2 linked regions of the Ovis aries genome follow. The protein of the gene in region 1 purifies or fractionates together with the protein of each later gene. This does not show direct contact. Links are inferred from orthologs where the notes say so. Each region holds a gene or a part of one and is shown on either strand. Other genes may lie near its edges. The genes, in order: FYB1 and LCP2.

Region 1 (4,319 bases):
AATGGTCTCGGGTTAAACCTGAAAACTTGGATTTTTAAAATTTCCCAGGTGATTTTAATGGGCTGCCAGGTGAAAAGCTTCTGCTTTAGAACCTAATTTGTCATGTTTGGGAATGCATGTAAGAATTAAAGATTTTAAAATTTAAAAAATTTAAAAAAATAAATAAATAAATAAATAAAATAAAAATAAAAATAAAAAAATAAAAAAGAACCTAATTTGTAGTGTTTCAACAGATAGTGAATGAGAGGCTTCCTGGTTATGCTAAAGAATGTCTCCATTTCAAGGTCTTCTGGCAATGTCTTATTGTCTAAAAAAAAATGCCTAGTTTTCTCATACCTGTCTTGCCTTGATCTTCCTCCTCTATTCATTCATTGAGTACTTACGATGTGCCAGGGACAGTATAATTTCTGACTACTCTCCTAGCTCCTGAGTATCCTCAAGCCCCATTTTAAAAACACCTACAGTTTCAAGGCAATCTCAAATTCCTTTCTACCTCTGGGAACTGACCCCTGCTCTGCCTTTCTGTCTTGTCCTAGCAATGGTTCTATCCATATTTCTACCCACATCTCAATTTTGAAAAACATTTTTGTTTAATAAATAAATAAAAGGAAATATCCACTTACTAAAGAATTTTTATTGTCATGATAGTAATTACTATTAGTTCAGGATCAAACAAAAAAAATTGACGCCCCTCTTCTAGGTTAACATGATAATATACACAAGATCTAGAAATTTGCAACCCCAAATTAAGATGTCAGTTGCTAACAAATATTACCAAAAAATTAACGCATGAACCTAGACTGTTATGTACTTTATGTTTTTAATGAAATGAATAACATCCTATGATAAGGTTAAAACATATTCTGCATTTAAATATTGATGAGATAGATTTAAATGCATTGAAATTGATGATTAAAATTATCATTATAATTTTGTTCTTTTTAAGATTATAGTTGTTTTAAACAAGTATTATATACTCAAAATTGAAAAGTCAAAAAGTCGGCAAAGTACAAAACAAGGATTATTTATAATAATAAATATTATTATTTATTCACCACTGAAGTCAACCACTGTTAACATGTTAATATGAATCCTCTACAAACTCATTTTATATATAAAATGGGTTAGTAACATATACAGAATTTACTATTCAGACACTTTAAAAAAACTTCTGTGTCAATCTTTAAGACTTCAAAGCTCTACCTGTAGCTGTTTTCATATCAATCAGTAAGGCATAGTAACTGGATAAACCTGGCCAGTTACACAAATGTTCTGAGGGCTGAGATAACATGCAAATAAACCTTATATATCAATGTGTGAAAACTGGACAGACCACAGGGTTCAAAAAAGGAAGTACCGTCTGCATAGCTAACTTGCACATTCACTGTCCGAGTTACAGCATCTTCGGAGTCGCTGTGTGCCACGCACATCAACTCTTTCATAAAAAAATGGTAAGTAATAGATTTTATGACTCTCCTTGGTCTCCTAGCAAACATCTGATCTTTTCTACATAGAGCAGAGAGGGCCGGGTGTGCCTTACGGGCAGGTCCTCTGAGCCTCTGGAATTTTTGCTTATCTCATCTTCGTTCCCTTTGTTAATAAAGTTGCTAAGGCATTATTATACCAGTTGAGAGCCTGTGGCCGCAGGAGTTCCCTTTTCTGATTCTGGCCTCTGAACAGGGGAAGAGTTACGCCTTAAAGAAAGAAAAGCTACATTCTTTGTCTTTGCTTCTTAAGATGGTTGGTTTAGAACCACAGTGCAATCAAGTTTCCTTTCATGAGCACTTTAAAAACCTGAAGAAAACTCCAGCGATATACATTGGGCAATATCGCTGAAGACGAGGGTAGTTTTGACAACATAGTGAAGTTTTACAAGAGGAGTTCTTTTGTTTAGAAAAATGCAGTTTAGGGGATTTCTCTGGTGGTCCAGTTGTAAAGACTACGCACCTCTAGGTGCATGTTCAATCCCTGGTCTGGGAACGAAGAGCCCACATGTTCCTACAACATGGACAAAAACTAAAATTTAAAAAAAGAAAGAGGAAAAAAAATGAATTTTATTATTTTAGTTAAGAGAAGCAAACAAAATCCAAATAGTCCAAATCTTAGGGACAGTTTGTGTTCCAAAGTTAATAGAAAATCCTTATGTGGAGCACACTTAAAATCATGACTGGGTTCCCAGGGTACTATAAAAACTAGCTTAACCCATAGTGAACCTAAACAATAGCACTAATATTCTGCTAGTTTCCTATTATTTCTCTGTGTAATTGACTGTGTTCTCATACATGTGGTGTTCTTAGATGCCCAAAGTCCAGAAGAGAGATAACTTTTTAATTCCACACGACTTTCCCCAACTCTCCAGCTTGTACAAGACTAGAAATTTGTTACCCCTTCTCTCCTTATGGAGAAGGAAACGGCAACCCACTCCAGTATTCTTGCCTAGAGAATTCCATGGACAGAGGAGCCTGGTGGGCTACAGTCCATGGGATCAGAGTCGAACATGATTTTGTGACTGAGAAATCTCTTCTTATAGAGAAGATGACGGCCTTTGCCACCTCCCAGTGGGAAAATGGGGACAAGGCGATGATCCCTACAGGTACTTGGTGGGGGTAGAGAGTGCACTCTGTAGGCACTGGAATGAACAGGGTAAAGAATTCATGGCATGAGTTTGTAGTCTGAAATCTTATGAGCCAAAATGGGGAAAGTACAGAGGTGGCTCAGATGGTAAAGAATCTGCCTGCAATGCAAGAGACCTGGGTTTGATCCCTACCCACTTCAGTATTCTTGCCTGGGAAATGCTATGGACAGAGGAGCCTGGTGGGCTTCAGTCCATGGGGTTGCAAAGAGTCGGATACTACTGAACGACTATCACTAATGTTTCCAAACTCCGCCTGCAGATCTAGGATTCTTAGAAAAGATCTTGATGTTAATTGCCATATTCTCTTCAAAAATAAGTGAGGGCATTGTGATTTACAGGGTTATTTGAATTTTCTTAGGGAACACAAGACAGCAATAGAAGAAAAAAAGAAAGGTTTAATTGGATAGTGTGTTTAATGTCCTACATAATGTTTTCTTAAGAGAGCACAATCTTATTGTAAAAGTAACACATTATTAAAGAAAATTTCTTAGAAATATAGACATGCGGAAATGACACAATACATATTTTCTATAGTTCTATCACCTGGGGCAATCATTGCTAAATTAGTATAGATCCTTCTAGAATTTTGTCATTTAAAATGTATTTTATAAATATAATTTTTTATAAGTACTATCATACTTTATAAACCATTCCCTTATCTGCTTTCTAATTTAAAATATCTTGAATAATATCTGAGTTATGAAACCATTTTAATAATGAATCATTTTTAGTGACTGCATTGTATTCTGTAATTTATTTTAATCGGTTCCATATAGTTGGACATTGAGATTGTTTTTTGTTTTATTTTACTTTCTTTACAGTCATACAGATAAGACTATCACAAACATTCATTTACATTTGTTGCCTAATTATTTTCCATTGCAAGAAATGCTAAAAGAATAGGTAGATTTAAAAAAAAAAAAAACATATATTTCGACTTTTAACCAAGTTACCCTCTTGTAAAGCAACATATTTTAATTTTACCTACTATATAGTGAGGGCTTCCCTAGTGACTCAGTGGTAAAGAATCTGCCTGCCAATGCTGGAGATGCAGGTTCAATCCCTGGGTCAGGAAGAAGGAAATGGCAATCCACTCCAGTATTCTTGCCTGGGAAATCCCATGGACAGAGAAACCTGATGGGCTACAGTCCATGGAGCTGCAAACGAGTTGGACACAACTTAGCAACTAAACAACAAAACTGTATAGTGTCATGGTGCATGAATTTCCCAGTTGCAATAAGCTATATGATGCCTATCTTTGTAGCTTATCAAGGTTTTACTTGAAAAGGAAGTAGATTTCCTTTAGTTTCTCTCTCCCCAACATTGCCTCTGACATTCTATAACAAGTTGCAGAAAGGCAGGTAGCATATAAAAGGAAGGAAAAAACTCTTCTACTTTTTCTCCTTGGGAGACGTCATAGATCAGTCAAAGACTGTATTTCTATCTACTCATTCTCTGCTTTCTAGTTGCATGGTTTTTTCATAAGTCACTTAAGCTCTGAGTTTGTTTCTTTATCCAAAAATGATGAAGATGATTATGACAGTATCTTGAAAGGTTGTTTTGAAGAGTAAATAAGATTGCAATTATAAAGCACCCATTAAAGTGCAGGCAGCCGCCAGACACTGAACGAATATTGGATTCTTTCTTTCCAGCCCCAAATAAATGATTTCCTAAGGAGGTATAA
Region 2 (3,824 bases), about 33 Mb from region 1:
GTTAGACTCCGGCCTGGTCTTCCTGAGACAGGAGTGAAGTGTGTCCAGCAAGTTCCTTCTTTTTGCCCTGCCCCCGTGGTTTCAGGGAGGGGGTGAGAAGAGTCAGAGAAGCAGCATTTCCCCAATTCAGGTCCCTCTCTGACGCCTTAAGCCCGACCCAACTTCACATCTGTTCTTTTTTGTCTCCACAGCAACCCTACCTTTCCGCAGAGCGCCTCCCTGCCGCCATGCTTCTCTCAAGGTTTGTTCTCTGCGCTCTAGTGACCGACTCTAGCCCATATGCCGTCGTCCCAAAGCCTTTCGGCAAAAGTTTTGTTGTTTCCTAAAAGCATCCGACTTCATTATTCAGCACTTCGGTTTCTGAAGTGTACCAAAGGTTGCTGTAGTGATAGGATACTCCACACAACAACAAAAACAACACACAGACACACACACTCCTCCGCAGGAAGGCGCCCTTGGCTTTATCTTCCCAGGCGGAACTTTTCTTCCCGGCTGTTTTTATATGATGCTTAGGATGGTGCTAGCTTTCTCTGTAGTTTAGATTTCTATAATGAATCTAACCTGGAGTGCTAGTTGAGGAACATGTTTAAAATACAGATTAAGGGACCCCCAACCCCCAGGATTCTGATACAGTAAGTCTGGCTGAAGACCTGTATTTTCTAATAATATTTCCTTTGGGTGTCGATGGTAAGTATTTCTTGAGAGAGTCCTCAAACTTTAAAAGGCACGCAAATCCCCTGGGAGCTATGTTAAAATGCAGATTCTAATCAGTGGGTCTTGGATGGGACCCAGGGTTCTGCATTTCCAGCAAGTTTCCATGTGATTCCCAAGTTCCAAGTTCCCAGCTGGTATTGCTGGTTCATGGACCACTTCAAGTAGAAACAAAGGCCTACCCAGTAGGACTAGCTGTGTTTATTTTCTATCCTTAAGGACTTGCAAGTGACTAGTACATGGTAAGCACTTTAAAACATTTGTTGAATGACTGTCAAATGACTATGGAGAGTCACCCAACTCTAGTAAACAATTTTTTCTTCTCATGCTAGAAAACACATCTTGTGTTACCAGATTTTCTGATTTATTTTTCAAGAAAACATAGAAATATGGCTTTCAATGTGAAATTACCTAATTTTTAAAGATTGACTTAAGATTTAAAAATTCTGTGAGGAAAAAATAAAACACTTTTTTTTTTTTGTAGTCATGTACACATGCAGGAACATTAGTTTGTGTTATAAACAGAAAACTAATAAGTTTAAATTTTCACTTAAGAGTCGACTCTTTCTTTTAGGGGCATGTCTATTACATTCAGTTGGGTACATCATGCCATATATGTATGAGATTCTACTGCTGACACCAATGAAACCCACTGTATTTTCAATGTTTCCTAAGCATTTTAGGATATAGTGTCCTTATTCACTACATGGCTTCCACAACTCCCCCCACCCCTCAGTGGCCACAACTCATTATTTTGTAAACCTACTTTGTGTCCCTAGCCTGGTCCGTCCAGGCATCTGAGCTTGAGACACTTCACTTATAGCAGTATCTGCCAAAGTAAATTCCATAGACCCCTGCTTCTATGAGTTGGTGACAGAGATTATTAATATAAACAGTTGGCTTTTATTATTTTTTTGAATATAATCATCCCTCTAATACAGGAGGGGGGATTGGTTCCAGGACCCCCCACTGATAACAAAATCCCAGGATGTTCAAGTTCTCTGTATAAAATGATGTCGCACAGTTGGCCCTTCACATCCACAGCTCCACATCCACAGACCTGGCTAACCCATTGGTTGAACCAGTCTGTAGTCGGCTGAATTCACCGATGCGGAAGCCATGAACGCAGAGGGCTCACTCTACTACCTTAATCAAAATCGATCCCTTTTCTCCCAAGAGTGCCAGGACACCTGGTCCTCAGTCTAACCCACTGGTTCCCCAAGGTCAGGAAGATAAAGCATGTGCTTTATATTGGCCAAAAACCTGTGCCAGTTCCCTTGAGGATCTATTTATTAAGGGTGGAGGGTGACTGCAATGAAAAGTAATATGTTGTCTGTCATGAACAGTGACTTTGTGGTGCTGACCTGCAGATGCAGATGGAGAATAATTCCTCAGTTCTAAGACAGCCATGCCCTGTAGACCTTCATTGCATGACTTTCTCACGTAGCTAGATCTCACTCACTCAGCAAGCATTATACAATGTTGCACTGCAGAGATTGTCATGCGGAAGGTCTGCTCAGGCACTGGGAGCCTTAAGAAGGAAGATCAGCAGCTCAGGCTAGCCCCATCTGCATCTCGAATAATCCTGACTAGGAAGACTTGGACTCTTCAAGTAACTCTCCCCTCTCAGGGGCCCTGGGGCAGGCGATTTACCCTCTGTGGTGTATTAGATGTATTAGATGAAGTAACAGAGCTGGTGCAGAACCACCTGGAGTGCTTGTTAAAGGCAGATTCTTGAGCCTGGGTGATTCAGGGTCCCCCTGGAATTCTCTTTTACGCACAGTCATATTTGGGAACCACAAGCTCAAGTTCTGGCTCTGCCACTAAGACACATGATTTGTTTAGACTCTCTGAATCTTTGTTTCATGATATTCAAAAAGAAGACAATACCCACCTTGTGGAGTTGCTGTGAGGATGAAAGGTCATGCACACAGGTGTCTTATTCAGGGCCTGGACACAGCAGTGCTGAAAAAATATCTGTTGAATGAACAAATGAGTGATGCATGAATTGTTAAGAGAACATTCAACTCACGGACTTTACCAGCCTGAAATAGCTGTTCTGGCATATAGAGACAGGTTTAGCAACTGCAAATCAACACAATCAAACCTTCCCTGAGATTAGGAAACACATTCTCTTGAAAAATTTCATGGAACTGTCAACAAGGAAAAAAAAAAGCATTAGAGAAGATGAGGCACAAATGCTGGGTAATTTACAGACTCCGACACAGGCTTCCTGATGGATCAGATACTGTCAGGGCCTCCTTCTATGTGAGTCTAACAGTTCTACTTCTAAAAGAAATTTGGTCAAGAACAGCAGGTAGTAAGCTCTGGCTCTGAAATCTAAGAATATTCAAGGTAATTTCACCTCATCTTGGGTAAGTCACATGTCTTGTTGTGAAAATGAGAACATAATTATCCTGACCTCCACATTTTACCATTTGGTGGTATATATGTAACTTGCTCAGTTAAGCAACCAATCAAGTGTGCGGTGTAGTGTCTCAGAATTTCACTGGCATGGCTGCAGAATAGGGCCCGAAACAGCCCTTGTGGTTTTGAACAAGTGAAAGTTATTTTGGAAGCTGTGGTTTCTTGAAACGTTAATTGCTGGGAACAATGGCAAGGGCATTGTGGAGGGCGGGCAGTGATGGGCTATGACTAGTGAAAAATTGCTTAAAGTAAATTAACGTTCAAAATGCTATACTTTCAAAGGCCCCCTCAACAGACCACTTCCCAGAGTGGAAGGCAGGAACTTCTCGCCAGTTCCCAGCAAACCTAGACCACAGTCCCCTGGGGAAGAACAGGTAATAAGGCATATGTTCCTATTTTATTTCTACACCAGCAAACGAATCATCAGAATCTTCCACTGAATAGTCTCCTATACTTTTATTTTCTTTTACTCTTAATTTTTTTAGTGAAAAATATTGAGGGGAGAATTCAGTTGAAAAATATTCTTTTTCCTTGATGTTCCTCTTCCAATGGCAAATGTGTGTTTCACATTAAACAGAAAAATAATTCTATTTTTCATCTATTTCTTAGTTTATGACATAGCATAAGTCATTTAACTGCTCATTAACCCAGTGTTTTTCATTAAATATATTATTATTCTAAACTGA

Evidence for each region.
Region 2: the proteins of FYB1 (region 1) and LCP2 purify together in Homo sapiens (co-immunoprecipitation; 6 studies listed by BioGRID and IntAct, with this or other methods). This does not show direct contact. The link is inferred for Ovis aries from reciprocal best matches to the Homo sapiens genes FYB1 and LCP2.

Annotation. Positions count from the first base shown.
Region 1 is NC_056069.1:35,337,063-35,341,381, forward strand, and holds the start of FYB1 (FYN-binding protein 1), read left to right. Parts: upstream 1-1,390; 5' UTR 1,391-1,448; coding exon 1,449-1,451; exon of another isoform or gene 1,452-2,593; intron 2,594-4,319. UniProt on the Homo sapiens protein: Acts as an adapter protein of the FYN and LCP2 signaling cascades in T-cells. May play a role in linking T-cell signaling to remodeling of the actin cytoskeleton. Modulates the expression of IL2. Involved in platelet activation.
Region 2 is NC_056069.1:2,324,731-2,328,554, reverse strand, and holds part of LCP2 (lymphocyte cytosolic protein 2), read left to right. Parts: intron 1-191; coding exon 192-241; intron 242-3,420; coding exon 3,421-3,512; intron 3,513-3,824. UniProt on the Homo sapiens protein: Adapter protein primarily involved in signaling pathways within T-cells, as well as other immune cells such as platelets, mast cells, and natural killer (NK) cells.